Linked DNA regions of Macaca fascicularis. The protein of the gene in region 1 binds, or shares a complex with, the protein of each later gene. Links are inferred from orthologs where the notes say so. Each region holds a gene or a part of one and is shown in the gene's direction. Other genes may lie near its edges. The genes, in order: CNOT1, DDX6, NANOS1, CNOT2, CNOT9 and ZFP36.

Region 1 (4,791 bases):
TTTTAAATAAACTTGTGTTTCCCACATTATTTTAACTTAGTATAACATTTTATTACATTAAAATACCTAGATCAGATTTGTGTGTATTTCCATTTGGTACTTACCTATTGTACAAATTATTGATTTTTCTGGGGGTAGCTTGTTGGAGTTTTAAAAGCTTTGTTATTAAGTCAGTTTGAGGAAATTATCTTCAAATCCTTGAGAAGTAAATTACCTTAAATTCTGTGAGAAAGTAAAATACATGCAATTTAGTCTCCTCTTTGGAGTCCACAATGTCTTAATGTGACTTAAAGTTACGAACAGTTGGTTTTATTTGCATGGTTAATTTTCCACATTATTTGGTGGGGACATACTGTTCAAAATTGCCATGATAATCTGTCAGTTTCCATCTTCCCTGTTCTACATTAAACTTAAAACTGGAGGAATTGTGTCATGGCACCTTAATGGGAAAATAATTCTGATAATACATTTATTACAATGTAAGAATTAGAAATATGACAGTAGGAACAAATGAGAATATCTCTTAAGCATGAAAATTAAAGGTATATCAAGTTTATTTGTGTGTGTTATCTCATTGTGTCTTTATTTTTTGTTCCTGTGGTAGATGCACCAGCAAGGAATACTGAAGACTGATGATCTCATAACAAGGTTCTTTCGTCTGTGTACTGAAATGTGTGTTGAAATCAGTTACCGTGCTCAGGCTGAGCAGCAGCACAATCCTGCTGCTAATCCCACCATGATCCGAGCCAAGTGCTATCACAACCTGGATGCCTTTGTTCGACTCATTGCACTGCTCGTGAAACACTCAGGGGAGGCCACCAACACTGTCACAAAGATTAATCTGCTGAACAAGGTCTGAAACCCTTTCTTGCCTTAGTCTTGGTCTACATCAGTGGGATTTTTTTTTTTTTTTTTTTTTTAAAAAGAGTCTCACTCTGTCACCCAGGCTGGAGTGCCTCCCAAGTAGCTGGGAATACAGGCATGAGCCACGATGCCTGGAGCTTTTCTATTTTTAGTAGAGACAGGGTCTCACCATGTTGCCCAAGCGGGTCTCAAACTCTTGGCCTCGAGTGATCCACCTGCCTTGGCTTCCCAGAGTGCTAGGATTATGGGGATGAACCACCATGCCCGGCCACATCAGTGGTTTCTTTTTTTCTTTTTTTTTGAGACGGAGTCTCACTCTGTCGCCCAGGCTGGAGTGCAGTGGTGCGATCTTGGCTCACTGCAAACTCTGCCTCCTAGATTTGTATCTACCTCCTCTCTACACCATTCTCCTGCCTCAGCCTCGTGAGTAGCTGAGACTACAGGCACTCACTACCATGCCCGGCTAATTTTTTTGTATTTTTTGTTTTGTTTGTTTTATGTTTTTTGAGACGGAGTCTCATTCTGTCACCCAGGTTGCAGTGCAGTGGCGCAATCTCGGCTCACTGCAAACTCTGCCTCCCAGGTTCACACCATTCTCCTGCCTCAGCCTCCCGTGCAGCTGGGATTACAGGCGTCCACCACTGCGCCCTGCTAATTTTCTGTATTTTTAGTAGAGACAGGGTTTCACCGTGTTAGCCAGGATGATCTTGATCTCCCGACCTCGTGATCTGCCAGCCTCGGCCTCCCAAAGTGCTGGGATTACAGGTGTGAACCACCGAGCCGGGTCACATCAGTGGTTCTTAACCCTATTTGAGTCCCTCAAGTGATCTGCCTGCCTCAGCTTCCCAAAGTGCTGGGATTACAGGCATGAGCCACCATGCCTGGCCACATCAGTGGTTCTTAACCCTATTGAGGCCAACCCTTCCCCAAAACATTTTGTTAACTCCTCTTTTCTGTCCTGAAATTAAATTTGTAGATAATATGTAAACATATCCGCTCTGTCTTAGAAACAGAATATAGTGCCTTAATAGAAACACAAAAAGAGATCATAATGTATTTCAGTATGTTAATGCTTGGTAGTGACTACAGTATGAATTTGCCCCATACACAGAATCACTGTGAGTGGGTGGCTAGAAGTTTCCCCTGCTGATAGATTGGCAACTCAAGTACGTGAGTGACATTAGCCATTGGCTTATTTACACAGTGGAGTTCTTGGAAATCTGAATATTAAAGCAGTGCAAAAATACGTGTAAAAATGGATTTTGATTTTGGATTTGGGAAATTAGAGATGTGTTCTTCAAGCCCCTCACTGTTCAGTGGGCAAGTCAAGTGGAATGAGATCTCTGCAGCCTAACAGCTTTCCTGGCCCCTGCCTACTAAATGCCAAGATAAGTGTAAATCATTGCCACATGTCAACTTCATGTCAGACCAGACAAATTAGATTGTTATATTGTGTTTAACATGGTGAAATGTAAGGGGGCCTTGCTGATTTCTAGAGCTGAAGAAAAACCATTGGGCGTTTGTAGAGAATATTCAGGTGTGGTCCAAGGATGTTGAAATTCAAAGAAACACACAAAACACTGAAGGTGGAGTCAGACCAATTTATGGCCCCATCGGTTGCCAGCATGTAATTTTGTATTCAAATTGTATATATGCTTTCTTTTAATGTTGGGTTTAAGAATGCAGAGTTTAAAAAGCATGACATCAAAGTGGTAAGTGAATTATCCGAATGATTTACAAGCTCTAATTTGTGTTTTATATAGGTCCTTGGTATAGTAGTGGGAGTTCTCCTTCAGGATCATGATGTTCGTCAGAGTGAATTTCAGCAGCTTCCCTACCATCGAATTTTTATCATGCTTCTCTTGGAACTCAATGCACCTGAGCATGTGTTGGAAACCATTAATTTCCAGACACTTACAGCTTTCTGGTGAGAATTGCGTTTGAAATTTTGTGTTAAGGTTTGCTGGATTAATGTAGTAAAATTTGGGGAGTAGAACCCTTGAGCATTTTGAGCCTACATTCATGTGCTGTTCACTGTATTTAAGTTGGACTGCGCTTCTGACTAAGGTTTTTCTTCTTTCAGCAATACATTCCACATCTTGAGGCCTACCAAAGCTCCTGGCTTTGTATATGCCTGGCTTGAACTGATTTCTCATCGGATATTTATTGCAAGAATGCTGGCACATACGCCACAGCAGAAGGTGTGGCTGCAGTTTATCTCCTGTACATGAAGACTATGACTACCTGGGCTTATTTATTAGCATTGCCTATAGATTTCTGTTAGTCATTTAGTAGTAATTGTACTTCTTCCAAACTTAGTTGGGAATTCTATTAAGTGTTCACTCAAGTCAAGTACTTGACTGTCTCTGCCTGAAAGCCATTCTTCAGTGATTAGGTGTTGCTGCTTCAAGGTTGTGGGCCCCCTGTGTCAGTCTCTCAAGTTTTTTAAAATTGTTTTTTCCTTTCTTTTAAAATGTTTTGCTTCTTTATACACAGGAATGATTTATTTTACATATTTGTCAGTTAAGGGGTTTTTTGGGGTGGTAGGGGTGTTGTTTTTAAAGTTGAAATCCATGTGTGCCCTCATAAATATCTGAATAAATCTCTGGGTAATAGGGCTCTGGAGCTTGTTGATTTTAGACTCTCACTTTAAATGTGGAAGGCTCTCAAACTAAGGTTGAGGACTACTGGGCTATGTTATTTTGAAGGATTATGATCCAGTTCTATTTAAAAGTTCTTTATCTAATTGGTAATACAACACAGTTAACATGAGAAGTTCTTTTCCTCCCATCTTGGAATTAAATTGGCAAATGAGTACTGCAGAAAGTACCATTTTTTGGCCCCTCAGATCAGAAGAAATGTGACTGCTATGTAATGGAGTGAACTTGACAAAGAAGGTGAAATAGCTCTTAAATGAAGTTGGTTTTGTTTGGTGGAGAAGGGTATTCTAGGAGACAGAAACACAACATATTAAATACAATTATCCAGGAATTAATTGAACATAATTGGTATAGTTGGGGGAGGGTGAGCAGGCCGACTTTGGCTGAAAATAGAGAATTCATGTTGTGGACTCAACAAGGTTATTTGCAAAGAGTTGAGGAGTTGAAAGAGGGAAAAGAAATGGCCGAGACTTAATAAGGAATTAAGAAAACACATTTCTAGTTGTCAGTTTCTGCAGTTGACTGTTTTGTGTTCTATCAGAAGTTTCCTCTTTAAATTTTTAAATTTTGCTGCAGGTACACAGGGACCATTATGTCTTGAAATCTCTGGAGCCAGTTTGTTTCAAATATTATTTCCCACTATCTCTGTAATAACTTGGTCCTTTTTAATCTTTTTAATGCCAGTCTTTTTTCTTTTCTTTTTTTTTGAGACGGAGTTTTGCTCTTGTTGTCCAGGCTGGAGTGCAGTGCCGCGACCTCGGCTCACTGCAACCTCTGCCTCCCAGGTTGAAGTAATTCTCATGCCTTAGCCTCTGGAGTAGCTGGGATTACAGGTGACCAGCACCACGCCTGGCTAATTTTTTGTATTTTTAGTAGAGACAGGGTTTCAACATGTTGGCCAGGCTGGTCGCGAACTCCTGACTTCAGGTGATCCAGCGGCACTCAGCCTCCCAGAATGCTGGGATTACAGGCGTGAGCCATTGTGCCTGGCCTTTAATGCTGATCTTTAGTAGAGATACTTCCTCTGTTAAGTTAAGAAGTTAAGTCAGTGTAGCTGCTTGGGCAACTTGTAGTGGCTGAAAAACAGCTGAGTATAATTATGACTCATACATTTCTTTCTTTCAGGGGTGGCCTATGTATGCACAGCTACTGATTGATTTATTCAAATATTTAGCGCCTTTCCTTAGAAATGTGGAACTCACCAAACCTATGCAAATCCTCTACAAGGTAATTAACTTGTATTTATTACAAATTAAAATAACTGAGA
Region 2 (4,791 bases), on another chromosome or scaffold:
TGGGAGGCGGAGGTTGCAGTGAGCTGAGATGGCGCCACTGCACTCCAGCCTGGACAATAGAACAAGACTCCATCTCAAAAGAAAAAGAAGAGTGTAATATTTATGTGATAGTATTGCTGAGGGAAAGTCTAAATCTGGGACACTATAATAAGTTCTCTTTTTGTAAAGAGATTTGTCCATTTGAGTTTTCATAATGTCCTGTGAGTCTTGTGATGATTCAACTTTTAGTTTTTTTGATTTTTTTAGTAGAGATGGGGTCTTGTTACGTTGCCCAGGCTGGTCTCAAACTCCTGAGCTCAAATGATCCTCCCGTCTCAGCCTCCAAAACTGCTGGGATTCCAGGTGTGAGTTACTCACTGTGCTACCCAGCCCAATTTTTTAATACATCTCGGTGTCTAGATTATAAGGGCAGTGTTTCCTTTTCTTTTCTTTTCTTTTTTTTCTTTTTTTTTTTTTTTTTTTTTTTTGAGTTTTGCTCTTGTTGCCCAGACTGGAGTGCAATGGTGCGATCTCGGCTCACTGCAACCTCTGCCTCCTGGGTTCACGATTCTCCTGCCTCACCTCCCTAGTAGCTGGGATTACAGGCATGTACCATCACGCCTGGCTGATTTTGTAGTTTTAGTGGAGATAGGGTCAGGCTGTTCTCAAACTCCAGACCTCAGGTGATCCACCCACCTTGGGTGGATCCCAGCACTCCCAAAGTGCTGGCATTATAGGTGTGAGCCACCGCATCTGGCCGCCTTTTTTTTTTTTTGAAGCTGAGTCTCATTCTGTCGCCCAGGCTGGAGTGCAGTGGCGTGATCTTTGCTCACTGCAACCTCCGCCTCCAGGGTTCAAGTGATTCTCCTGCTTCAGCCTCCTGAGTAGGTGGTATTACAGCTGCGTGCCACCAAGCCTGGATAATTTTTGTATTTTTAGTAGAGGTGGGGTTTCACCGTGTTGGTCAGGCTGCTCTCAAACTCCTCGTGATCTGTCCACCTTGGCCTCCCAGAGTGCTGGGATTACAGGCTTGAGCCACTGCATCATAAGGGGCAGTATTTCTGTAGCTTCTTGAATTTTGTAAATATAATGTATAGTATGTTCTCCCACCTCACCCCATATTTTCTCATATGTTCCTTGATGTTGTTTCAGCAATGGTGATTGTTCCCACTAGAGAACTTGCTCTACAGGTCAGTCAAATTTGCATCCAGGTCAGCAAACACATGGGAGGGGCCAAAGTGATGGCAACCACAGGAGGAACCAATTTACGAGATGACATAATGAGGCTTGATGATACAGGTAAGAAATGATTACTAAAAGGTAGTGTAGCTCTCTGTAATTTTAGTCTCAAGTGTTTCAGTAAATTATTAAAAATTATTTTTAAGAATTAAGGAACAGAAATCCTGCAGTAAAAAAAGGAAATGACCATTGCATTCAAGAGAAAAAAACAGATTGACGGTAATTGAAAGCAATATTTGACTTTATTACTAATTCTAAAACAGCAAGTTTATAGTAATTTTACCTGTTTAATTGGTAAAGCTAAAAGTAGTAGTAGACATTAATGTGAGTTTGTGGAGAAATAGGCTATGTTGTAAACGTGGGGGTGTCAACTTATCTCTATCATGAGCAATTTGGCAGTCTTATTTTAAAATTATAAATTATATTTTTAAGAATCTTTCCTGAAGAAAAAAGTTGGGTAAATGTAGGGCTGTATGTACAAAGTTGTTTACTATGGGGTGGTTTGTCGTGCCAAAAAATTGGACCAACTTAGAAGGAGATTGGCTAAATAAATACATTATAGTCTGAATAGTATTCTACATAGTCATTAAGGAGTGAAGTTGATCTGTATTCATTTTCATTAAGATTTTCATGATACATTGCTGAGTGGAAAAAGGTAACAAAACAGCAAGAATGAGATCACTCATAAAATTATATCTAAAATTTTAGTTAGAATACTATATATAATTATGTGATATATTCTTTGTATTGCATAGGTTTTTTAAAAATTGTTATCTTGTTTGATCCTTTTAACAATACTCGGTTCACTGTTCCAGATTAGAGGCATTGCTTTTATGTCAGAAGTCTGGTGTGCCTTCTGTTATTAATTGGGAATTACCCTAAGACAAGAAAGTATGCCTCCTGTTGGAAGCAGGTGATTTGGGAAGCTGTACCCCACCCAGTGTAGAGGTGAAAAGTATTTTTTAAGCATCCTGCGGTGAAATGGAAGACTTTATCCTAAAACACATCTTTGGACCTTTTTGTGTTATTCCCACCTCTATAACACAATGTGTTTCTTTTCTTTTTTTTTTTTTTTTTTTTTTTTTTTTTTTTTTTTTTTTTTTTTTTCTGAGACGGAGTCTCGCTCTGTCACCCAGGCTGGAGTGCAGTGGCCGGATCTCAGCTCACTGCAAGCTCCGCCTCCCGGGTTCACGCCATTCTCCTGCCTCAGCCTCCCGAGTAGCTGGGACTACAGGCGCCTGCCACCTCGCCCGGCTAAGTTTTTGTATTTTTAGTAGAGACGGGGTTTCACTGTGTTACCCAGGATGGTCTCGATCTCCTGACCTCGTGATCCGCCCGTCTCGGCCTCCCAAAGTGCTGGGATTACAGGCTTGAGCCACCGCGCCCGGCCGTGTTTCTTTTCTTTCTTTTTTTTTTTTTTAATTTGAGGCACAGTCTTACTCTGTTGCCCAGGCTGGAATGCAGTGGTGTGGTCTCGGCTCACTGCAACCTCTGCCTCCTGGGTTCAAGCGATTCTCCTACCTCAGCCTCCTGAGTAGCTGGGATTACAGGCTCCCACCACCACACCCAGCTAATTTTTGTACTTTTAGTAGAGACAGGGTTTCACCATGTTGACCAGGCTGGTCTCGAACTCCTGACCTCATGTGATCCACCCACCTGGGCCTCCCAAAGTGCTGGAATTACATGGATGAGCCACGGTGCCCGGCCTAGTGTTTCTGATAAAAGATAGTCATGTGCTGCATAACAATGTTTTGATCAGTGACAGACCGCATGTATGTCGGTGTTCCCATAAGATTATAATGGAGCTATACAGTGGAGTAGGCTGTACCATCGCATAGCAATGCATTTCTCAGAATTATCATTAAGCAACTGAGGACTGTAATATGATAAACCTTTACAATATCCTTTTTGCCCAAATTAAAATTAATGAGAATATATGTTTTCTAAATCTTGCATAGTGCACGTGGTGATTGCTACCCCTGGGAGAATCCTGGATCTTATTAAGAAGGGAGTAGCAAAGGTTGATCATGTCCAGATGATAGTGTTGGATGAGGTAATATCTCTTCATTTGGCATTATACTATTCTGTACTTTTCTGTGCTTTGCTTATAACTGCCAGTGAATGAAGCAAAAGCTGCTTGTGTTTATGATCTAGTAAACACATAAGCGATCAGTTTAAATTAATTTGCTTATAAAATGTGTTTTACCTGTCAGCGGGAGTAGATTATAGGCATTCATTGGAATTCTCCTTTTTGTCTTTTTCTTAGAGATAGCAGAGATTAGGTTTTATTTTCATTTTTTAGAAGAGGAGTGAATAACCGCAAAGCCAAATTTATTCTACATCTCTTTCTACTCGGCGATTAATTTTTTTTTTTTTTTTTTTTTTTTTTGAGACGGAGTCTCGCTCTGTTGCCCAGGCTGGAGTCCAGTGGCCGGATCTCAGCTCACTGCAAGCTCCGCCTCCCGGATTTATGCCCATTCTCCTGCCTCAGCCTCCCGAGTAGCTGGGACTACAGGCACCCGCCACCTCGCCCAGCTAGTTTTTTGTATTTTTTAGTAGAGACGGGGTTTCACCATATTAGCCAGAATGGTCTCCATCTCCTGACCTCGTGATCCGCCTGTCTCAGCCTCCCAAAGTGCTGGGATTACAGGCCTGAGCCACCGTGCCCAGCCTCGGCGATTAATTTTTAAAAGCATATAATATATATTGTCTCCTTTTGTGCATACTACTTTGTAGTGTTTGGTTATTAATCTCTGTTAGACATATTATCTCACCATGTTATAAATGCCTTTTAAAAACTTATTAAAATCTGTAGTCCTGGGATCTAGCCATGTTTTGTACATATATAGATGGTCCCTGACTTACGATGGTTCACTTTATGGTTTTTCAGTGGAAGTGATAAGCTTTTATTAGAAACCGTACTTTGAATTCTTAAGATTAATTTTTTTCCTGGTTAGTAATATGCTATATGATATTCCCATGATGCTGGGCATCAGCAGCAAACTGCAGCTCCCAGTCAGCCACATGATCATTGAGGGTAGACAGCTGATACTGTACAGTATACGGTGTTGTCAAGTGATTTTGCCCAACTATAAGCTAAGTGGAGCATGTTTCAAGGAGGCTAGGCTAAGTGATGATGTTCAGTAGGTTTGGGTAGTATTTTCAACTTAGGATGAATTTATCAGAACATAATCCCATTGTAAGTCAAGGAGGATCTGTAGTGTATCAGTGTTAATGTTTTGACATGAGGTTATTTTCACATTTGGTTTGTGTTTTATTATTATTACTATTTTTTTGAGACAGACTCACTCTGTTACCCAGACTGGAGTGCAGTGGCGTGATCTCGGCTCACTACAATCTCTGCCTCCCGGCTTCAAGTGATCCTCATGCCTCAGCCTCCTGAGTAGCTGAGATTACAGATGTGTACTACCCACACTTGGCTAATTTTTGTATTTTTAGTAGAGGCAGGTTTTCGCCGTGTTGGCCAGGCTAGTCTTGAACTCCTGACCTCAGGTGATCCTCCCGCCTCGGCCTCTCAAAGTGCTGGGATTGCAGGTGTGAGCCACCACACCC
Region 3 (4,947 bases), on another chromosome or scaffold:
AATCGTGCCATTGCACTCCAGTCTGAGTGACAGAGTGAGACTCTGTCTCAAAAAAAAAAAGAAATCCTACTCTTCTCTAGGTCTCATTTTCTTCATCTGTAAGGACTGGATAGAACTGGGTGTGGTGGCTCACATTTGTAATCCCAGCACTTTGTGAGGCCAAGACAGGAGGATCACTTGAGGCCAGGAGTTCAAGACCAGCCTGGGCAACATAGCGAGACCCCGTCTATTAAAAAAGAAAAAAAAAAAAAAAAAAGCAAGAAAAGATCAAATAGAATGATCCCAAAGATCCCTCCCCATGCTGACATTCTGATTCCCTCACTCATTCATTCTAATATTAACCAATGCCAGCACTAGGTTCTGGGCATCTCCTGCTGAGCCATTCTAAACCTGCTGGGCACAGCCAAGACCTGTGAGTGTGTCTTCAGGCCTAGTGAGGGCTCATTGTTTCCACAGCCACTGCATGGTCCAGAGTGGGGAAGGAAAGCCCCACCTGCCCCATGAAGCCCACGCTGCCAGGGCCCACCTGCCAGGGGAGGCATTTTCCTGATCCCAGTTCTAGGTTTCGTCCTAGAAGAGCCCTCAGTATCTAAAGCTTTTCCTACTTTCAATTTTTTAAAAAGTTGGAAAGGGTAAGACCACCTGCCATCTTCCTAATCAAAACTCATCTTCTGGCTCTTATTCTCCGTGGCTTTTCCACAACATGTTTTATTCATTTCAAAGTATTTAATTATAACGTCGAGGCAGGTGTGGTGGCTCATGTCTGTAACCCCAGCACTTTGGGAGGCCAAGGCAGGAAGATCGCTTGAGGCCAGGTGTTCAAGACCAGTCTAGGCAACATAGTGAGACCCTGTCTCAAGAAAATAAAAAATTAAAAGAAAAAAAAGCAAGAAGATAAAAGAGAGAGAAATAAAGAAAGAGGCCGGATGCGGTGGCTCACGCCTGTAATCCCAGCACTTTGGGAGGCCAAGGTGGGCGGATCACGAGGTCAGGAGTTCAAGACAAGCCTGGCCAACTAGTGAAACCCCGTCTCTACTAAAATAAAAAAATTAGCCGGGCGTGGTGGCGGGCATCTGTATTCCCAGCTACTCGGGAGGCTGAGGCAAAAGAATTGCTTGAACCCGGGATGAGGAAAGAAAAAAAAAAGAAAAGGAAGGAGGGAAAGAGGGAAGGAAGGAAGGAAAGAAGGAAGAAAGGGAGGGAGGGAGGGAGGAAGGGAGGAAGGAAGACAAAATATAACATTGAACACACGTTGTTTTTCAAACTGCACATATAACCCACATTTTGACTCAGGCCTCTGGGTCGAGGAGGTACACACACACACACATCCCAGTCACTGTCCTAGGCTCTCCAGCCATGAGGTTTTCCGGCCCAGTCCCAACCCCGACCTAAGTCACCGGGTATCGGCCACCCATCGGCTGAGGTCCCTGAGCACCTGTTGGGAGGAAGGCTGCTGCGAGGAGCGGGAAAGTCCTGCGTCCCTCCGCTCTTACCGCGGCAGGAACCACAGCCTCCCCGAACCTCACGGTGTGTGCGGATTTCGCTCAAGGGAAAGCGCTCCAACGCGCGGTGCAAACGGAAGCCACTGGCTGGTTGGGCGGCTGTGATGGGAGAGCTGCATCCTCCCATCGCGTCCAGCTTTTCATGCTGATGTTGGTGAGAAGAGGGTGGATAGCGGGGATTCTCAGGATGCGGACCTGGGGCCATTAAAGGCCGGGAGGTGGAGGCGTAAACCTGTGGCCACCCTGACCCCTGTCCTCGGTGGGCCTCACCACCAGGCCGAGGAGACCCAGGCCTGGTCACCTGCTCCAAGGCCAGGCCCGGCGCGCGAACGAAAGAGGACCTCAGCAGCAGTCCCTCCCCGGCCCTTCTCTCCCCTACTTTCTCCTCACCTACCAGCTGCGTGAAGAGCACGCCCCCTCCCCAGTCCCCACCAATCAGCGTCCGGAGCGGCGCCCGGGGCCCGGGGGGCTCTGGTCTGCAGCCAATGAGCGCCACGGCCCGAGGCGGCGCCTCGCCCGCCCCCTCCCGGAATGAAGGCCTCCCGACAGCTGGCGAAGCTGGCGCGGCGCGCGGGGCGCGGGACCCGCGCGGGCCGGAGTGGAGCGCGCGCACAGCCCGCCCGCCTCCGCTCCGCCTCCGTCCGGGGCGCGGGCGAGGTGGTCGGGGCGGGGGAGCGCAGGGGGCAGGGCCGCGGCGGCGAGGCCGGGGGGGCGGGGAGGAGCGGGCCCGATAAAAGGCGGCGCGGCGGCCCCACCCCGCGGCAGGCCGGCGGGCAGGCTCGGCGTGTCCCTTCCGTCCGGCCCGCGCCGGCGGCGGGGAGGCGGCGCGCGGCCCGCAGCCCGCCCATGGAGGCTTTCCCCTGGGCGCCCCGCTCGCCCCGCCGCGGCCGCGCCCCCCCGCCCATGGCGCTCGTGCCCAGCGCCCGCTACGTGAGCGCCCCGGGCCCGGCGCACCCGCAGCCCTTCAGCTCCTGGAACGACTACCTGGGGCTCGCCACGCTCATCACCAAAGCGGTGGACGGCGAGCCGCGCTTCGGTTGCGCCCGCGGTGGGAACGGCGGCAGCGGCTCCCCGCCCTCCTCCTCGTCCTGCTGCTCCCCCCACGCGGGGACTGGGCCTGGGGCGCTGGGGCCGGCGCTGGGGCCGCCCGACTACTACGAGGACGACGACGACGACGACAGCGACGAGCCGGGGTCCCGGGGCCGCTACCTGGGGGGCGCGCTGGAGCTGCGAGCGCTGGAGCTGTGCGCGGGCCCCGCCGAGGCCGGGCTGCTGGAGGAGCGCTTCGCCGAGCTGAGCCCGTTCGCAGGTCGTGCCGCCGCCGTGCTGCTGGGCTGCGCGCCTGCCGCGGCCGCCACTACTAGCGAGGCGACGCCGCGCGAGGAGCGGGCCCCGGCATGGGCGGCCGAGCCCCGGCTGCACGCGGCCTCCGGGGCGGCGGCCGCCCGGCTGCTGAAGCCGGAGCTGCAGGTGTGCGTATTCTGCCGCAACAACAAGGAGGCGATGGCGCTCTACACCACCCATATCCTCAAGGGCCCCGACGGGCGAGTGCTGTGCCCAGTGCTGCGCCGCTACACGTGTCCCTTGTGCGGCGCCAGCGGCGACAACGCGCACACCATCAAGTACTGCCCGCTCTCCAAAGTGCCGCCGCCGCCCGCCCGCCCGCCGCCCCGCAGCGCCAGGGACGGCCTGCCTGGCAAGAAGCTGCGCTGAGGGCCCGGGCTCCCGGCCACCCAGGGTCGCCGCCGCCGCCCCTCGCACCACTAGGTCTGCGCACCATCTTGCCCCCGCCGTGGGGAGGCGTGCGGCTCAGCGGTCGGCTCGACTTTGGGACGTCGTCCTGGTGGTTTTTCAAAAGCAGCCGACCGTGTGGAGTACTTCCGTGCCGAGCAATATGGGACTAGACGGTGAAATCACCATGTCTTCAGTTTCTAGTTTGCACATCCAGAACGGCGAAGGCTGGGTGTGTATTCCACTAACTGAAATACGGCAACTTAGAGGCGCTGTTTATTTACTGTATACGTGGACCTATTTTAGATGCGCATCAGTATGAAATTGTCTCAATCTAGGATGTTTCATTTTATGAATGGAGGCACTTTACTAGGTCTAGAATATTTTTTTAAAAGCCTCTGAACTGAGCTTAAAACTGGCGATTTTATGAAATGTCGGCAAAATGACTATTTTATTGTTTGAAGCAATATTCTTAGTTGTCCTTAAAAAATCAGTTACTCTAATTCCAGGTGAAGCAAGCCGCTGGTAGCATCACCCTTATGAGAAGTGAAGGTTTTGTAAACTTTCCAGTATTAATTTGGGCGGGTATTCCCTCCTTGTGGCTTGTTTCCGTCCTAGATGGAGGTGTAAAATGCACAATCTGTAGCAGGTAGAATACAGCTCCTTATCCTTTTATGTACCAGATATTTTATTACTGAACTAGCAACTAGCCTTTTCCACCTTTAAAAGTTGTGCTAAGTCATAATCATATTGTGTATAACTTGGAAATGGTGCTGTTTAAAAAAACTGTGTATTTATACAGTAACTATGAATTCATCAATCTCACCTGTAGCTTTTCTACTTGGCCTTTTCTCGACGCACTCACTTCCAGTTCTCTCAAAACGTTTGATATTAAGATCAAAGGGAAGAAGGGAAGACAGCAGTCTTCACCCTAGATTGCTCAATTTCAGGGTTCCTAGTGGAGGAAAGCCCATTCCAGCTGTTGCCTCTTAAATAGAAGATGGATCTCTAGCTCTGAGCTATTCGTGTATTAACTCGTATTCAAGAAGGTTCCACCGTGGGCTGCGTCTGACTTTAATATAGGCAGTGCTCAAACTAGAATAAGCACTAATTAAAGGAATTGTTGGGGGTCTTTCATGTTCCCACTCCTACTGGAAGACCCATGTCCATTTCCGGAACCCCACCAGTTCCCCATAAGCAAGACTAAACCTGATGGGCAAAAGTTCCTAACCCCTACTTTACCCTCCCACCCTCACTTTTAAATCCACCATACTGAATGCCACATTATGGAATGCAGCTACCTGCCAATCAAGACAATAGAAGGCAAAAAATAGAAGTGAATTAAGATGAACTCATCTGAAATACACAAATGCATCACTATCTGAAGATACCAGCAAGAGATTTAGTCTACGTGTATAGGGCTCCCAGTAGGATTTAGCTAGGCTACTATAAGTTAGACTGCTTTCATAATAACAGCTAACTTCCTCCACAGCAAATTGGCTCAATCAGGAACCTTCATTTGAAGGTGTGTTAGAGGGTGGAGTAAATACCCAATAGCTGTCTTTCTGGTCAAAGAAAAGGTGCAGCATATCAAGAACTTGGGGGCAGGGGAAAACACTTTCTTAGCCGGGAAAGAAAAATAATCCAACGCTGCTAGTCTTAACCCCAGACCAGAGAACTGCTGATCTGATTGGGCCTAAATTAAGTAGCTTAA
Region 4 (4,791 bases), on another chromosome or scaffold:
AATACCTCTTCAGACTTCCAGTTTTTAATATCATGTCATCAAATTGTCTCACCTACTGCTACTCATTGTAATCTGTTTTTTCTCTGGGTCATTCGCTTGCATATTAGCTCTTAGATCACTGGCACTCTGCAGTATTCCTTTTATAATTTGGCATTTTATATGTCTGTGTGTGTGCATGTGTGTGCATGTGCAAGTATGTATATGTGTGTGTGTATGTATGTGTATATATATACACACACCTTCCACAATCCTGAAATCTCAGCTCCTTGAATTTCTTTCCTCCAGGAATTTTTGTCCTGTAGTATACTTCAGCCACTCCTTTAGTTATCCCTTTGACCTAGTCATTGTTAGTAACTGCAGTCTCTCAATTTTAAAATCTGTGCTCACATGCTTTCCGATTTCCACTTTCTATTTTCTAGTTATCTTCTTCTGGTACTGTAATTCCTGTAATCATTTCACTCCACCGGGGCCTTCAATCTATTGATTCTTCTGTGTTTTAACTGTTCTTCCATATCCCTGTCTCTCTTCCTCTGTAATCAACTCCCTTCTTACCCATGAAATTCTGTGGTCAGTCGTAATTGTTCATTTACATATCCCGTGACTACTTTGCCGTTTTCTCATGTTGTTATACTTGCATGGCCAAAGCTACAGTACTGGTTGTTTCTGCCTATTTCATTCCTGACCTGTGCTACTGAGCCCTGCTAGAGAAAAACACATGGTATCACTGCCTGGGCTTCCTTTATTTTCGTACCCAGGAACCTCAAAAGTAGGCTCTTAATTCTACCAGGGATAATTATACCTTGCATGCTTAGTCCATTTACTCTTTTCTCTCTTACGCAATTACATACACTTCTGCACACCCCTAATACCTTTTCTCCTTGTTCTTACTATCAAATGATGACCTTGCTTTTTACTTTTACTGTCCTAAGAAAGTTGGAAGCAATTAGAAGAGCACATTTAGCACAATCTAGCCACCAAATCTGACTACCTACAGCCATCTACATCTACGTTATTCTTGTCTTCCACCCTATTACTGCAATTGACCCATGCGTTCTACTTAACAACAGATTTTCACACTTTGTTGGGTCATTTTCATCAACATAGAAATACATTGTTACTTCTCTCATCTTAAAATCTTCCTTTGATCCAATCTCCTCTGTAAGTTACTTTCCCATTTCTTTGTTTCCCTTTGAAGCAAAACTTTTCAAAGAATCATCTCAATTCCTCCAACTTGGTCTTCTCCATTCTCTGGTAAGCCCATTTCAGTCAGGATTTTGTCCCTGCCACTTCACTAAAGCTGCTTTTATTCAGGTCACCAAATGACCTCTATGTTATTAAATTCAGTGATCACTTGGAGGAACTCTTGCTCCTTAATACACATTCTCATCCTTGAATTTGAGAGCACCATTTTTTACATCATCCTCACTGGTTGGTCTTTTTCAATTTCCTTTGCTGGTACCTCCTCCTTTTCTTCTTGACCTCTTTGTGTCATTCCTCTTCTCTGCATTTAGATCCTTGATGGTCTTTTCTAGTCTTATTGTTTTAAATACCATATATATTAAGGAATCCCAAACATATGTTTCCATTCCATACTTCTGAGTGTGAGATTTCTACATTCAATTGCTAATTAAATATTTCTTGAATTATCACCCCCCAACTTACTCTGTCTACAGCCTTTCCAATCTCAGTCAGTGGTAACTCTGTACTTCCAGAAGCTTGACATTATTCTTAACTCCTCTTTCTTTTATACCCCATAATCAGGCTTTTGCCAAAATATATACAGAATCTGACCAAAGTTCACTACTTTTTAACTGCTACCACCCTTGTTTGAATCATTCTCTCTTGCCTGAATACTCCATTAGCCAGTCCCTGGGGGTCCCTGATTGTCCTTATCCCCCTTCTCATACAATCTCTTCATATAACAGCCAAGAGAGTCCTTTTTAAATAAATTACTCCTCTGCTCAACACCCAGAAAGAGTTTGTGGTTTCATTATGATTAAAAACCCCAAATCTTTTTTTTTTTTTTTTTGAGACAGGGTCTTGCTCTTGTTGCCCAGGCTGGAGTGCAGTGATTCTATCTTGGCTTACTACAACCTCTGCCTCCCAGGTCCAAGCGATTCTCCTGCCTCAGCCTCCTGAGTAGCTGGGATTACAGGCATGTGCCACCATGCCCAGTTAATTTCTGTATTTTTAGTAGAGACAGGGTTTCACCATGTTGGCTAGGCTGGTCTCAAATTCCTCACTTCAAGTGATCTGCCCATCTTGGCCTTCCAAAGTGTTGGAATTAAGGTGTGAGCCACTGCACCTGACCAGAAACCCCAAATCTTTACAGGCCTACAAGGTCTTACATGATTGTTGTTTGTCCCCTAACCCCACCTCAACAGCTTTTCCCTTTGTTCACTGTATTCCAGCTTCGCTGGCCACCTTGTATCTCAGACATGTCAGTCATGTCCCTGCCTTAGTTGCTTTAGCAGTTCCCTCAGACTAGAAGAGTCTTCTGCCAGATAATTAATATGATTATCTCCCTCATAGCCTTCAAATCTTCAGATCTGACCACCTTAATGAAACCTAATTGACCACCCTATTTAATAATTATCTGTCCAGTCTCCCCTCCCAGTTCCCTCTAACATGGGCCGTTGTTTATTTATTATGTTAATTGATTTTTGTTTGCCTCCCTCCAATCCACCATTCCTCAACCAGAAAGTAAGTTTCATGTTGTCAGTGATCTTGTTTTGTTCACTGACGTGTCATAAGCTCCTGGAACAGTGCCAGGCATATAATAGGCACTCAGTAAATATTTGATGAATTTAAACTTTTACAAATAGTTACTCATTTTTCTTCTTGCCACATAAATAAGTGGGAAAGTAATTTAAATTGGGAGCATGGTATCAAAGAATTTAAAGCATCTTGAGTTGAAGTCAAGTAAAAGTAGAAAATTTTTAATCATATGTTTTGTATATTGTGATATGTTGTGTTATTTATACTGTGTTGCAAGAATACTGAGGGAAGGAGTCTTATCATATTTTACACACACACACACACCTCCCCCCCACACACACACACACGCATTCTTCGTCTGCTTCTGTATAAGTCGGTAAACCCAAGTAAGGGAATTAGAAGTAAAGATGGTCATTTTACATTTGGAGTCTTTGTTTTTCCTGAAATAAAATTAGAAATCTGTTTTTCTGCTTTGGATTTCAAAATGTTTTCTTTTCCTCCTTATTCAGAAATCTCTACCCCAAATTTGCATCACCCTGGGCATCTTCACCTTGTCGACCTCAAGACATAGGTAGGAGAATCTATTTGTGTTTAGGCCTTTTAAAAAGAAATTTACAACTGAGAATCAGTTAATAAGGCTTTTTTCATTTTATTATCCAGACTTCCATGTTCCATCTGAGTACTTAACGAACATTCACATTAGGGATAAGGTGAGTGTAGTTTATTATTCTACTCAGTCAGCACGAATTTATCTATTTTTCACGTGTTTTTCAGTTCAGGCAGCATACTATTTTTGAAATAATTAGTAATGGTCTCAGGGATATGCTTTCATATGTCCATGTTAACTTGTTAAATGGTAAATGTTAGGACTGGTAAAAAATAAAAATTCTTATATTTAACAACAGGTTACAACCATAACCACAGTTGGTGGGAATAAACTAGATTGGAACATTTGATAAATTTCCTTCTGATAATCTTATTTTATGATCTTAGCAGTAAAAAGATTTTCTTTACAAGTATTACAGATACAGTGTTTTTAATGAGATGATCTGTATCTTTAAAAACTATTTATGACCTTGACTTTTCTCTGTATTTTTTCATTTCCATTTTTTTAAATCACCTAAAATTCTAATTCTAAAGTAATTATTAACAACAAATTACAGCTTAATCTCTCTTTTTTCAATCTAAGAAAATGGTGGCACTTTTTGCTTTAGAACTGAGTGTTTCTATTACCAAAAAAATTCACAATGATATCTACATTTTAGCCTTGGGAAACAACAATTTAGTGAAAAAATAATACATTTTTGTTATATATTTGTGTATAAATATGTATGTGTATGTATATATATATATGACAGCATTATGAGGGTGCCTTACAGTTCTGTGGTCAAGTGGATGTTGATGTTGTGACCAGGCAAGTAAAAGGGATACCTTTCTCAATGTCTTTTAATACTTCAGTAGATGGAAGGCAAGAAGTATGAGATGGAGAGGTCTCCTATTTTCTATTTGTGGATTGTGTGATTTGCTCTCACCCCCACTATAGAGCTCTTTTGCTCCAGTTACCTAAGCGTTCCAGAACCTTTTCTTATTGCCAATTCGAGAAATACTAATTTAGGAGAATTTGTCACGTGGGGGCTGCTGCCTGAATAGGGATAGCATGAATGGAGAGAAAAATTACATTCAGATAATCTGTAATAGCCAAATAAGTATTTAGATACAGGATCAAATAACAAGGTAAAAATGTTGTTTTGGTACACTTTTAAGGTTTATTTAAATGTGAACATTTCTTGGTAGGCGGTTATGTTTCTACCTTGTGGAGAGAAATGTAAAGCAGTTATCTTTCAGGCATCTATTTAAACAAACTAAAAAGTCATTTCTTTCTGGGTTTTGTATTCATCATCTGTGATTTGCTGGAAGCATACAACTGACTTGTGAATCACTGTCAGATATAGATTCAGTTAACATTTTTTATAAGCCTTCTATATATTTGGTACTCTACAAGGTGCTTTCATACACCTTCACTCATTTTATTTACTTTCTTAGTAACCCTCATAGGTGTCATTGTCCACATTT
Region 5 (4,791 bases), on another chromosome or scaffold:
GTTTGAGATCAGCCTGGCCAACGTGGTGAGATCCCAACTCTACTAAACATACAAAAATTAGCCGGACATGGTGGCACATGCCTGTAGTCCCAGCTACTGGGGAGGCTGAGGCAGAAGAATCGCTTGAACCTGGGAGGCGGAAGTTGCAGTAAGCTGAGATCACACCACTGCACTCCAGCCTGGGAGAGAGAGCGAGGCTCCATCTCAGGGGGGGAAAAAAAAGTCATCTTTAGATCAGATTTCGTCTTTCAGGCAGATGAGAAGCTGTATTAGCAAAGCAGAAGTGTGGGCCCTGTTGCCACACTGGGTGGCACACACTGTGCCACACCCTGTGCCACCTGGGTACAAATCCTAGCTTGCCATTTAAATTTTAAATAACTTCTCTGTGCCTCAGATTTTCCTTATCTATAAAATGAGAGTGCTGATAAGTATTATAAGTATTTAGGACAGTGCCTGACAGAGTAAGCCCTGTATGTTTTAAGCTCTCATTTTTATTTTTAAAAAATTGTATTCGTCCCATGACAGGTGGGTATTCAGTTGGTGTAACTTACTACTGCTATTAAATTGGGGGTGAAATTCAGCAGGGATGATGAAAAGGAGGATCCCTACCCTAGATATTTCCTGGCACCAAACTGCCCTCCTTTTGGCTAGAATGACAGCAGAACCCATAACACCAAGCTAGTGCCCATGGGGGCCACATTACCACCCATCTGACATGGTTCTAGCTCTCTTAGAATCAAAAGCACATGGAGGCTGCAGCCCCCACAAATAATCTCACAAATTGGAATACTGCTAGCAGCAGGTGTCCATGGCTTTAGGAACCCATGTACGCACCAGGCATTGGCCTTTCAGAGTGCCCACACCACTGCCAGCAGTGCCATCTTCTCTGCGGGCATCAGGCCAGCTCCAGAAAGAGAATATGTGGGGATGGGGCCTGGTGTTCAGGAGTCATGGTATGCAAATCAGTGGTTACAAGGGCAAAGATGGGGTACAAGATGCCAACTGCAAGTCACAGACTGGCTCTAGTAGGGGTGATGGAGTTTACTGATGGTGGTATCAGTATGACAAGACTTTGGGGAAGATCGACTGGAATGGGTACTGATTAATCAGGATAGGTACTGTATTGCCAGACCAGTGTCTGTGAGGCCTCCTTTAGTTACTGGATTGTGGGGTCATCCAAGAGACTGGGCAGGAAACCTAATGCTAAAATTTTATCTTGTGTTCCTGCTGAGCGTCTAAGGTGATGTAATATTCTAAATAAACACATACCCTATCTTCAGGTAGGAATTACATTTCCAAAAATAGTTTTTAAGTTGAGGGCCTGTTTGTGGCTGCCTAGAAAGGGCAAGTGCCTGAACAACACTGCTTTTGCTGTGGGGAAAGGAGGAAAAAAGCTACCAGATTCCTTCTATCGTATTGTTGCTCTAAGAGCCTATGATTGATTCCTTGAGGGCCATCCCTGAAGGGAGTTACAAAACAGCTTTTAGCAGATTACTGTAAGGCACTCAAAGAAAGCTTAAGCTGCATTGTATTTCAGTCTATTTAGCAGAACACGTTGTGGTTCTTTCTGTCAGGCTAGTGAAATAATAAACATCAGGCTAAGAGCTTATAATCAAGCTTCCATTTTTAAAAGGCCATTATTCAGGTTGGATAGAGTAAATTTGAATCCACTCAAAGTCTATTTTATGCTTAATTCTGTTCTTCAACAAAGGCAGTTCTTTTTGTTCTTTGTCTTTACATCTGTACAATGTGTAGGTCATCATTCTGTCATGCTAAGGTCTATTGGGAACTTGTAAGTACTGTGAGAAACTGTATTATAGTTCAAAAAAGTACAGGAATATGCAACTTCATACCTGGTTAAATTGAGTGAGTTAATTCCTCTGAACATTAGTGATCTCATCTGCAAGTGTAGATAGCTTTTCCCCACCTCCTCTTTTATTTCTCATGGTTGGGGGCAATTACCTGAGAATTTTGGGCTTGGAGATAGAAATCACCAGGAATTTGTTAGCACTTTAAAGCTTAGGGGTAGCCATTATCATTTTTCTAGTCTCCCATCTTGTTTTCCAGATAAGAATAATTAAGGAACTTAACCAAGATCACAAAGATATTTGATGACTGTAGAGAATAATAAAATACTCAGATTTGGGGGGAATATTGTGATTCTTTAGCATAATGATGAAAGCATGCCCTATTAAGTCTGTATTTCCTACATGAGTAAGTAATGAATGGTTCTCAAAGGGATGTAGTTAGATAATATATTGCAGAATCATTAAGAGGGAGAGCTTTTCCAAATTACAGGTTTTCTGCTCAGTTGAGGGGGGATGTCAGAATCACTGGGGAGGGACCAGTAATGGGAAGGCATAATTTTTTTTCTCTCAAAAACTATTATGTGTATATGGTTTAAAAAAAAAAAAAAAAAAGTTTATGCAAAAGGTTTTAGTGTAAACAATGAAAAGTAAGTCTCCCTATAAATCCCCAACCTTAGAGGTAACTACAGTTAACAGTTTTTTATGTGTCCTTCTAGAAATGTTATATGTAAATGTGTAAGAATGTATTTTTTATTTTTATATATGTATGTATTAATGGAAACATTTTATATGCTCTTCTGTAACCCTTTTATTGTTTTTACTTAGTATCAATATTCAGTATATAGAGAGCTGCTGCTTTTTTTAAAGGACTACATAGTATCACATTATAAAGCTGCACCAATATTTAACCAGTCTCTTATTGAGAAGATACTTGTTAGTTTTCTGCTTTTTTTTTTTTTTTTTTGAGATGGAGTCTCGCACTGTCGCCCAGGCTGGAATGCAGTGGTGTGATCTCAGCTCACTGCAAGCTCCGCCTCCCGGGTTCACGCCATTCTCCTGCCTCAGCCTCCTAAGTAGCTGAGACTACAAGGGCACACCACCACGCTTGGCTAACTTTTTGTATTTTTAGTAGAGATGGGGTTTCATCGTGTTAGCCAGGATGGTCTCCATCTCCTGACCTCATGATCCACCCGTCTCGGCCTCCCAAAGTGCTGGGATTACAGGCGTGAGCCACCACGCCCAGCCCAGTTTTCTGCATTTATTTATGTATTTATTGAGACAGAGTCTCACTCTGTCGCCCAAGCTGGAGTGCAATGGTGCCATCTCAGCTCACTATAACTTCCACCTCCCATGCTCAAGCAACTCTAGTGCCTCAGCCTCCTGAGTAGCTAGGAGTACAGGCATGCACCACCACACCTAGCTTTTGTTTTTGCTTTTTTTTTTTTTTTTTTGGCGACACACTCTTGCTCTGTCATCCAGGTTGGAGTACAGTGGCCGTATCTTGGGTCACTACAACCTCCACCTCCCAAATTCAAGCAATTCTCCTGTCTCAGCCTCCTGAGTAGCTGGGATTACAGGCGCCCATCACCACACCAAGCTAATTTTTGTATTTTTAGTAGAGACGGGGTTTCGCCATGTTGGCCAGGCTGGTCTCGAACTCCTGACCTCAAGTGATCCACCCACCATGGCCTCCCAAAACGCTGGGATTACAGGCGTGTGCCACCACGCCTGGCCAGTTTTCTGCTTTTAAAACAGTGGAACAGTAAACATCCTGGTATATCTTTAGCACAGCCCAATTATACCTACAGGATAAATTCCTAAACATGGAATTATCAAAGGGTATGTGTGCATTTTAGATTTTCATCAGTAACTGCCAAAGAGATTGAATAGTTGACATCAAATGTATGTATTTAGAAAAGCTCCCCTGGTATTCATGGAAAATATATTTCCTCTAAAACTCTGTTGCAGGGTAAGACTTGGTTTGACTCTAATAAACTCATATTTACTTTCTTGTCTTCATCTGAAGCCTGTGCCTACTGCACTGGCACAAGTGGATAGAGAAAAGATCTATCAGTGGATCAATGAGCTGTCGAGTCCTGAGACAAGGGAAAATGCTTTGCTGGAGCTAAGTAAGAAGCGAGAGTCTGTTCCTGACCTTGCACCCATGCTGTGGCATTCATTTGGTACTATTGCAGCACTTTTACAGGTGGGTTTATATCCATGATTGGCAGTTCAGTTCTTTTCATTACCCTTGTATATTTCTTTACTTTTGCCCAAATGATTTGAAGACTTTAGGAGGATGATTCTTTAAAAATCTGCATTCGTAAGAACCTATTTTAGAAAGGTCTGAGGTATTCGTTAAAATGCAAATTCTTGGATCCTTACCCAAGAGATTCAATTTAGTCAGTCTGAGGTGGGCCCTCTACTCTATATTTTAATAAGCACTTTCACCACCCCCAGATGATTGTGATGCGGGTGATCTAAGAACTACACTTTGACAGACATAGCTTTAGGAGTACCGTAAGATAAATCTACATGACAGCGGGAGAAAGGTGGAAGGTAGAGTATAAGGACCACAAGGTATAATATATTCCATGGAAAAGAAATGTTTCTTGAGGGTTTTTGTTTGTTTGTTTGTTTTGTTTTGTTTTCTTGAGACGGAGTCTCGCTCTGTCTCCCAGACTGGAGTGCAATGGTGCAATCCTGGCTCACTGCAACCTCTGCCTGCTGGATTCAAGCGGTTCTCCTGCCTCAGCCTCCTGAGTGTCTGGGATTACAGGCATGCGTCACTATGCCTGGCTATTTTTTTTTTTTTTTTTTTTTTTTTTTTAGTAGATATGGAGTTTCACCATGTTGGTCGGGCTGATCTTGAACTCCTGACCTTGTGATCCACCCACCTCGGCCTCCCAAAGTATTGGGATTACAGGCGTGAGCCACCGTGCCTGGCCTGGAAAGGAAATGTTGAAAATATAACAGCGGCCGG
Region 6 (5,312 bases), on another chromosome or scaffold:
TTCTTAGAGGGCAAACCTCAACATAATTTCAGGCCCTGGTAGGAGGCCTCTGCCGTTTGCTAGCTCGAACTAGAAGAGTAACGTTTATTACCCCCTTGAGAGGGAGTCTCACTCTGTGGCCCAGGCTGGAGTGCAGTGGCGGGATCTCAGCTCATGCAACCTCCGCCTCCTGGGTTCAAGCGACTCTCCCACCACAGCCTGCTCCCTCCCCGCCCCCCAATAGCGGGACCACAGGCGTGTGACACCGCACCCAGCTAATTTTTGTATTTTTGGTAGAAACGGGGATTCACCATGTTGCCCAGACTGGTCTCCAACTCCTGAGCTCTCGTGATCCGCCCGCCTTGGGTGCCCAAAGTGCTAGGGCTACAGGTGTGAGCCGGGCAGGAGAGTAACTTCACTTTGGTTTCCTCCTGCCTTAAATAGGCATACCACCTAGCATTAGGATGAATGTGCGTAAAGCATTTAGAACTCAGCCTAGGTGAGTTCTCCTTAACTCAGCCTAGAAGAGATCATCTGCCTGAGGATGAGGGGCTAGAGCCGCCCTGTGACTTGGGAAAGGAGGCCCCTTTTCAGCCTTGCTAGGCATCCTGGACCCCAACCCACTCACTCACCCACCCAACCCCAGCAAGTGGGGAGAGGGAGAGCAGTTCTGGTCTCATCTGTCTGGGCTGTTTAGGAGTGAGACAACACAAGGCAGGCAGTTCTCAGAGAATTCCCCTCCAAGGCCTGCCGGCTCTTTCTTGGCACTTTGCTTGGCAGATTTCTTTCTGTAAGTGCTTGTTTCTCACAGTCTTTCTCCTTTTTGTCCAGTTTTTCTTTTTAATTTTTTTAAATAGTATTTTTTGTAGAGATGGGATCTCACTGTTGCCCAGGCTGATCTTGAACTCCTGATCTCAGGTACTCCACCTGCCTCACCCTCTCAAAGTACTGGGATTGGCCGGGCTTGCTGGTTCGCACCTGTAATTCCAGCTCTTTGGGAGGCCGAGGTGGGAGGATCCCTTCAGTCTCGGAGGCGGAGGCGAAGATCACCCTGGGCAACATAGGGAAACCCCGTCTCTCAAAAAAATAATAATGAAGAAAAGAAAGAAAGAAAGAAAAACACAAAAAGTGCTGGGATCACAGGCGTAAACCACTTGCGCTCAGCCCCTTTCTGTTTCTTTTTGTGATCCTCCCAACCCTCTTCTCCCTCTGAATCTGTCTCTGGGACTGTCTCTGTCTCCCCACCGTCCCTCCCCTGCTCACCCTATCTCTCCCTGTATGTGTCTCTCGGTGTGTGTGTGTCTCTGTTTTTCTCTCTGCCTCTCTCCCTGTCTGTACCCCTCTGCGTGTCTCTCCCCGCCCCCGTCCGTCTGTGTCGCACGCGCACCCCCATCGGGCCTCTGCCCTTGTCAATTGCCCCTGAAGCCCTGCCCCCACCTCCGCCCCAGTTTCCTTCTACACGCCTCAGTCTCCAGCTTTGAAAACTGGGCAGGCGCCCCCCCGATCCGCACCCCCACCCCGACCCCCACCCTTTCCCCACGCACTCCCCGCCCGGTCGCGGCTGTCCACCGGCCAAGCTCAGGCGCGTCCTGGCCCAGGGCCGGGCGGAAGGGAACCAGTCCAGGGCCAGCCGGGCTGCGCCGGGGGCGCGCGTCCGGGAAGCGCCCCTCCTGCCCCGCCCCTGGCCCAGGCCCCGCCCCGTGCTTGCTGTTTAAGTAGCCGGCTCTCCCTGCCAGCCTCAGCCTGACTTCAGCGCTCCGACTCTCGGCCGACTCCCCTCTAATGGCCAACCGCTACACCATGGATCTCACTGCCATCTACGAGGTGAGTCCCCACCGCACGGCACCCCCGGTACCTGCACACTTGACTCCCCAGCTCTCTAGCGCCGCAAACTCCATCCCGGGACGCTTGCCTCTCTTCTCCAACTGGGGCTTCCTAGCGCCCTGCCCTCCAGCCTGGGGCCCCTGCCTCCCGCTCAGACCAGCTTGGTGATTTGGAGGTGAAAATGGAGCCCACGACTCCCGGCTCTTGGCCCAAACATGGGTGGGGCGGCCCGTGCGAGTGGAAAGTCGGAGAACTTTTCTCAGACCTAGGCTGCCTGGAGGCGGAAGTGGCCCCCACACCTGGCTCACCCCTAGTCGTCGCTGAGGGCGTGGTTTTGCGCGGAGGCGTCTCTGGGGCTGAAGTCTCAGGGTGGGGGGGATCCGACTTCTGTGTCTCCAGTCCCTGACCGTAGTTCTCTGAGAACCCTAAAACCGAAGCCATCCGGACTCCTGGGTCAACTTTGCCCGGTTCCTCCAGTTGTGAAACTGGAGATCCTGACGCGTGGGTCATATCTGGGGAGGGCAAGAGACCCAAAATTGGGAAAAAGTGGTGTGCCCTGACTTCGGGGCCCCCTCTTGGTCCAGCCGGGAAAGCCGGGATTCCTGGGTCCCTCGGGATAAGGCCTCGATCGTGGGTAAACTCAGAACCTCCAAATCTGGGTTCCTGGCATCCGGAACCCAGGGGTTTTTGCAGGCGGGTGGGGCTCAGGCCAGGAGCCCACAAACCGGCCTGGCAAGCTCTAGTTCCCTGCAGCTGGGGTGGGGCGTCGCCCTGCATTTTCGGGTACCTTAACCGACCCATTTCCGCAGAGCCTCCTGTCGCTGAGCCCTGACGTGCCGGTGCCATCCGACCATGGAGGGACTGAGTCCAGCCCAGGCTGGGGCTCCTCGGGACTCTGGAGCCTGAGCCCCTCCGACTCCAGCCCGTCTGGGGTCACCTCCCGCCTGCCTGGCCGCTCCACCAGCCTGGTAGAAGGCCGCAGCTGTGGCTGGGTGCCCCCACCCCCTGGCTTCGCACCGCTGGCTCCCCGCCTGGGCCCCGAGCTGTCACCCTCACCCACTTCGCCCACTGCGACCTCCACCACCCCCTCGCGCTACAAGACTGAGCTATGTCGGACCTTCTCAGAGAGTGGACGCTGCCGCTACGGGGCCAAGTGCCAGTTTGCCCATGGCCTGGGCGAGCTGCGCCAGGCCAATCGCCACCCCAAGTACAAGACAGAACTCTGCCACAAGTTCTACCTCCAGGGCCGCTGCCCCTATGGCTCTCGCTGCCACTTCATCCACAACCCCAGCGAAGACCTGGCGGCCCCGGGCCACCCTCCTGTGCTTCGCCAGAGCATCAGCTTCTCCGGCCTGCCCTCTGGCCGCCGGACCTCACCACCACCACCAGGCCTGGTCGGCCCTTCCCTGTCCTCCAGCTCCTTCTCGCCCTCCAGCTCCCCGCCACCACCTGGGGACCTTCCACTGTCACCCTCTGCCTTCTCTGCTGCCCCTGGTACCCCCGTAGCTCGAAGAGACCCCAGCCCACTCTGTTGCCCCTCCTGCCGAAGGGCCACTCCTGTCAGCGTCTGGGGGCCCTTGGGTGGCCTGGTTCGGACCCCCTCTGTACAGTCCCTGGGATCCGACCCTGATGAATATGCCAGCAGCGGCAGCAGCCTGGGGGGCTCTGACTCTCCTGTCTTCGAGGCGGGGGTTTTTGCACCACCCCAGCCCGCGGCAGCCCCCCGGCGACTCCCCATCTTCAATCGCATCTCTGTGTCTGAGTGACAAGTGACTGCCCGGTCAGATCAGCTGGATCTCAGCGGGGAGCCACGTCTGTTGCACTGTGGTCTCTGCATGGACCCTAGGGCTATGGGGACTTGAGGGACAGTAATCAAGTAATCAAGTAACCCCCTTTTCCAGAATGCATTAACCCACTCCCCTGACCTCACACTGGGGCAGGTCCCCAAGTGTGCAAGCTCAGTATTCATGGTGGTGGGGGATAGAGTGTCTTCTGAGGTTTTTGACCAAAAAAAAAAAAAAAAAAAATGTAGCATATTTAAGGGAGGCAGTGAGCCCTCTCCCCACCTCTTCCCTGCCCAAATCTGTCTCATAGAATCTTACGTGCTGTGAATAATAGGCCTTCACTGCCCCTCCAGTGTTTATAGACCTGAGGTTCCAGTGTCTCCTGGTAACTGGAACCTCTCCTGAGGGGGAATCCTGGTGCTCAAATTACCCTCCAAAAGCAAGTAGCCAAAGCCGTTGCCAAACCCCATCCATAAATCAATGGACCCTTTATTTATGACGACTTTATTTATTCTAATATGATTTTATAGTATTTATATATATTGGGTCGTCTGCTTCCCTTGTATTTTTCTTTCTCTTTTTTTGTAATATTGGAAACGACGGTATAATTATAAGTAGACTATAATATATTTAGTAATATATATTGTTACCTTAAAAGTCTATTTTTGTGTTTTGGGGCATTTTTAAATAAACAATCTGAGTGTAAGCTGGGATCCTGGCTTCTTCGCGGTCTAGAGACAGGAATGGGGAGGTAGAGGGTGACTTTTTGGAAGCTGGGTGCAGTCAACTCTGCTTCTCCGAGCCCCGCGGCGCTTACCTGGCAGGAAGTGACGTCACCGGGCCTGGCAGTTCACCTGAAAGGGTGGGACCAGGTGAGGTCACCAGATGGGAACCGGGGGAGCCAGTTCCCGGGCGTCGGGGGCGCTGCGCTCCCGTCCTGCCGGGCTCCTTGACCTAGCTCTCGGGCGGGCGCGGGCGGGGACTGAATGTTTCCGTCCCCACGGGGCCGCGGGAGGCGGGAGGCGGGAGGGGCCGGGTGGGGAGGACGGAATGTGCCGGGGCGCGGGCCCAGAGCGAGCGGGGGCGGGGGCGGGCGCGGGGCGGGGCAGCCTGGGGTAGCGGAACGCGTTTCGGGACTAGGGGTTCCGGGGGGGCTTCGACACCTTCTGGATGTTGGGGAAGCGGGTTTTAGGGTCTCAAGAGTTTAGGGTCTCAACATTTGGGAGTCTCAGATTGTGTCCCCTAGCGCTTTAGACTCTAGACCCCTGGTGGCTCGGAGTGGCAGATTTCTGGCCACCGGGACCCTGGAGCCCGGGAATGACTGGGTCTTGGCATTTCCGAACCTTGGAAGCCCGAGGCCTCGGACACCAACCAGGGTCGGCCCCGCGAGGCCAGGGCGTGTGGGTAGGGGCCGCGCGTCTAGGAGGGGCCCCGGAGGAACAGCGTCTTCAGACCATACAAGGCCAGCGGCGTCAGGACCAGCCCCGGGGCCCCGCGCCCGGAAGCCGCCCTGCGTCAGCGCCTGCGGCTCGGCCCTGCCGCCCAGACTTCGCCCCCCGCGACCCCTCTTCTTTCTCCTTGCCCCGCTCTCCCTCCTCTTCCCTCCCACTTCCCTCTTTTCTCCTTTCCCTACCCTCACCCTTCCTCCTCCTTTTCACTTCCTCTTCTGCACCCTGCTGCCCCGTCCTACGCCCTTTGCCTTCTGTTCTTCTCTCCCCCCTCCAA

What was found.
Region 2: the proteins of CNOT1 (region 1) and DDX6 are in contact, whole or in part, in a crystal structure (PDB 4CRW), measured with the Homo sapiens proteins. The link is inferred for Macaca fascicularis from reciprocal best matches to the Homo sapiens genes CNOT1 and DDX6. Residues at the interface, in NP_057368.3 of Homo sapiens: Glu1097, Ala1100, Phe1101, Phe1103, Asn1104, Asn1105, Leu1106, Ser1107, Ser1109, Asn1110, Lys1114, Lys1137, Arg1138, Ile1141, Glu1142, Asn1144, Phe1145, Leu1148, Tyr1149; in NP_001244120.1 of Homo sapiens: Phe329, Ser330, Arg331, Leu332, Gln333, Ile334, Asn335, Gln336, Leu357, Gly358, Tyr359, Ser360, Leu384, Arg386, Asn387, Ala402.
Region 3: the proteins of CNOT1 (region 1) and NANOS1 are in contact, whole or in part, in a crystal structure (PDB 4CQO), measured with the Homo sapiens proteins. The link is inferred for Macaca fascicularis from reciprocal best matches to the Homo sapiens genes CNOT1 and NANOS1. Residues at the interface, in NP_057368.3 of Homo sapiens: Ile2327, Ile2330, Lys2331, Trp2338, Glu2350, Phe2353, Gln2354, Val2356, Ala2357, Met2361; in NP_955631.1 of Homo sapiens: Phe40, Ser41, Ser42, Trp43, Tyr46, Leu47, Leu49, Thr51.
Region 4: the proteins of CNOT1 (region 1) and CNOT2 are in contact, whole or in part, in a crystal structure (PDB 5FU7), measured with the Homo sapiens proteins. The link is inferred for Macaca fascicularis from reciprocal best matches to the Homo sapiens genes CNOT1 and CNOT2. Residues at the interface, in NP_057368.3 of Homo sapiens: His1864, Ser1865, Ala1866, Ala1867, Arg1870, Asp1871, Gln1917, Pro1921, Ala1923, Pro1925, Ala2003, Tyr2036, Leu2039, Glu2040, Ser2043, Arg2045, Ile2048, Ala2049, Ala2053, His2054, Leu2079, Leu2084, Lys2086, Gln2089, Ile2090, Leu2091, Tyr2092, Lys2093, Gly2094, Leu2096; in NP_001186231.1 of Homo sapiens: Met350, Val351, Asp353, Gln354, Phe355, Gly356, Met357, Ile358, Gly359, Leu360, Leu361, Phe363, Ile364, Arg365, Gly372, Met373, Val374, Leu376, Ala377, Leu378, Gly379, Ser380, Asp381, Leu382, Leu385, Leu387, Asn388, Leu389, Ser391, Glu393.
Region 5: the proteins of CNOT1 (region 1) and CNOT9 are in contact, whole or in part, in a crystal structure (PDB 4CRU), measured with the Homo sapiens proteins. The link is inferred for Macaca fascicularis from reciprocal best matches to the Homo sapiens genes CNOT1 and CNOT9. Residues at the interface, in NP_057368.3 of Homo sapiens: Ile1415, Ala1416, Thr1418, Thr1419, Gln1422, Ile1423, Lys1426, Asp1427, Phe1428, Met1444, Asn1447, Leu1448, Gly1451, Met1452, Met1454, Ile1455, Arg1458, Glu1459, Tyr1548, Gln1549, Arg1552, Met1553, Pro1554, Gln1556, Ile1557, Leu1559, Val1564, Lys1567, Gln1568, Leu1569; in NP_005435.1 of Homo sapiens: Arg19, Glu20, Tyr23, Ile26, Asn27, Ser30, Ser31, Pro32, Arg35, Pro54, Met55, Trp57, His58, Ser59, Phe60, Gly61, Ile63, Ala64, Ala65, Leu67, Gln68, Val71, Asn72, Tyr74, Pro75, Ser76, Ile77, Asn78, Pro79, Thr81.
Region 6: the proteins of CNOT1 (region 1) and ZFP36 are in contact, whole or in part, in a crystal structure (PDB 4J8S), measured with the Homo sapiens proteins. The link is inferred for Macaca fascicularis from reciprocal best matches to the Homo sapiens genes CNOT1 and ZFP36. Residues at the interface, in NP_057368.3 of Homo sapiens: Gln821, Glu835, Asp845, Ala848, Asn849, Phe852, Gln853, Tyr856, Asn894, Glu897, Glu898, Phe901, Gln904, Tyr905, Pro906, Glu909; in NP_003398.3 of Homo sapiens: Arg314, Arg315, Leu316, Pro317, Ile318, Phe319, Arg321, Ile322, Ser323, Val324, Ser325.

Annotation. Positions count from the first base shown.
Region 1 is NC_088394.1:54,634,718-54,639,508, reverse strand, and holds part of CNOT1 (CCR4-NOT transcription complex subunit 1), read left to right. Parts: exon of another isoform or gene 1-553; intron 554-604; coding exon 605-853; intron 854-2,068; exon of another isoform or gene 2,069-2,627; coding exon 2,628-2,791; intron 2,792-2,947; coding exon 2,948-3,065; intron 3,066-4,649; coding exon 4,650-4,751; intron 4,752-4,791.
Region 2 is NC_088388.1:117,625,777-117,630,567, reverse strand, and holds part of DDX6 (probable ATP-dependent RNA helicase DDX6), read left to right. Parts: intron 1-1,131; coding exon 1,132-1,278; intron 1,279-3,176; coding exon 3,177-3,271; intron 3,272-4,791.
Region 3 is NC_088383.1:128,033,798-128,038,744, forward strand, and holds NANOS1 (nanos homolog 1), read left to right. Parts: upstream 1-2,260; 5' UTR 2,261-2,348; coding exon 2,349-3,215; 3' UTR 3,216-4,062; downstream 4,063-4,947. UniProt on the Homo sapiens protein: May act as a translational repressor which regulates translation of specific mRNAs by forming a complex with PUM2 that associates with the 3'-UTR of mRNA targets. Capable of interfering with the proadhesive and anti-invasive functions of E-cadherin.
Region 4 is NC_088385.1:77,069,799-77,074,589, forward strand, and holds part of CNOT2 (CCR4-NOT transcription complex subunit 2), read left to right. Parts: intron 1-3,227; coding exon 3,228-3,289; intron 3,290-3,378; coding exon 3,379-3,428; intron 3,429-4,791. UniProt on the Homo sapiens protein: Component of the CCR4-NOT complex which is one of the major cellular mRNA deadenylases and is linked to various cellular processes including bulk mRNA degradation, miRNA-mediated repression, translational repression during translational initiation and general transcription regulation.
Region 5 is NC_088386.1:114,504,824-114,509,614, forward strand, and holds part of CNOT9 (CCR4-NOT transcription complex subunit 9), read left to right. Parts: intron 1-3,834; coding exon 3,835-4,014; intron 4,015-4,791. UniProt on the Homo sapiens protein: Component of the CCR4-NOT complex which is one of the major cellular mRNA deadenylases and is linked to various cellular processes including bulk mRNA degradation, miRNA-mediated repression, translational repression during translational initiation and general transcription regulation.
Region 6 is NC_088393.1:46,480,713-46,486,024, forward strand, and holds ZFP36 (mRNA decay activator protein ZFP36), read left to right. Parts: upstream 1-1,719; 5' UTR 1,720-1,761; coding exon 1,762-1,803; intron 1,804-2,612; coding exon 2,613-3,569; 3' UTR 3,570-4,293; downstream 4,294-5,312. UniProt on the Homo sapiens protein: Zinc-finger RNA-binding protein that destabilizes several cytoplasmic AU-rich element (ARE)-containing mRNA transcripts by promoting their poly(A) tail removal or deadenylation, and hence provide a mechanism for attenuating protein synthesis.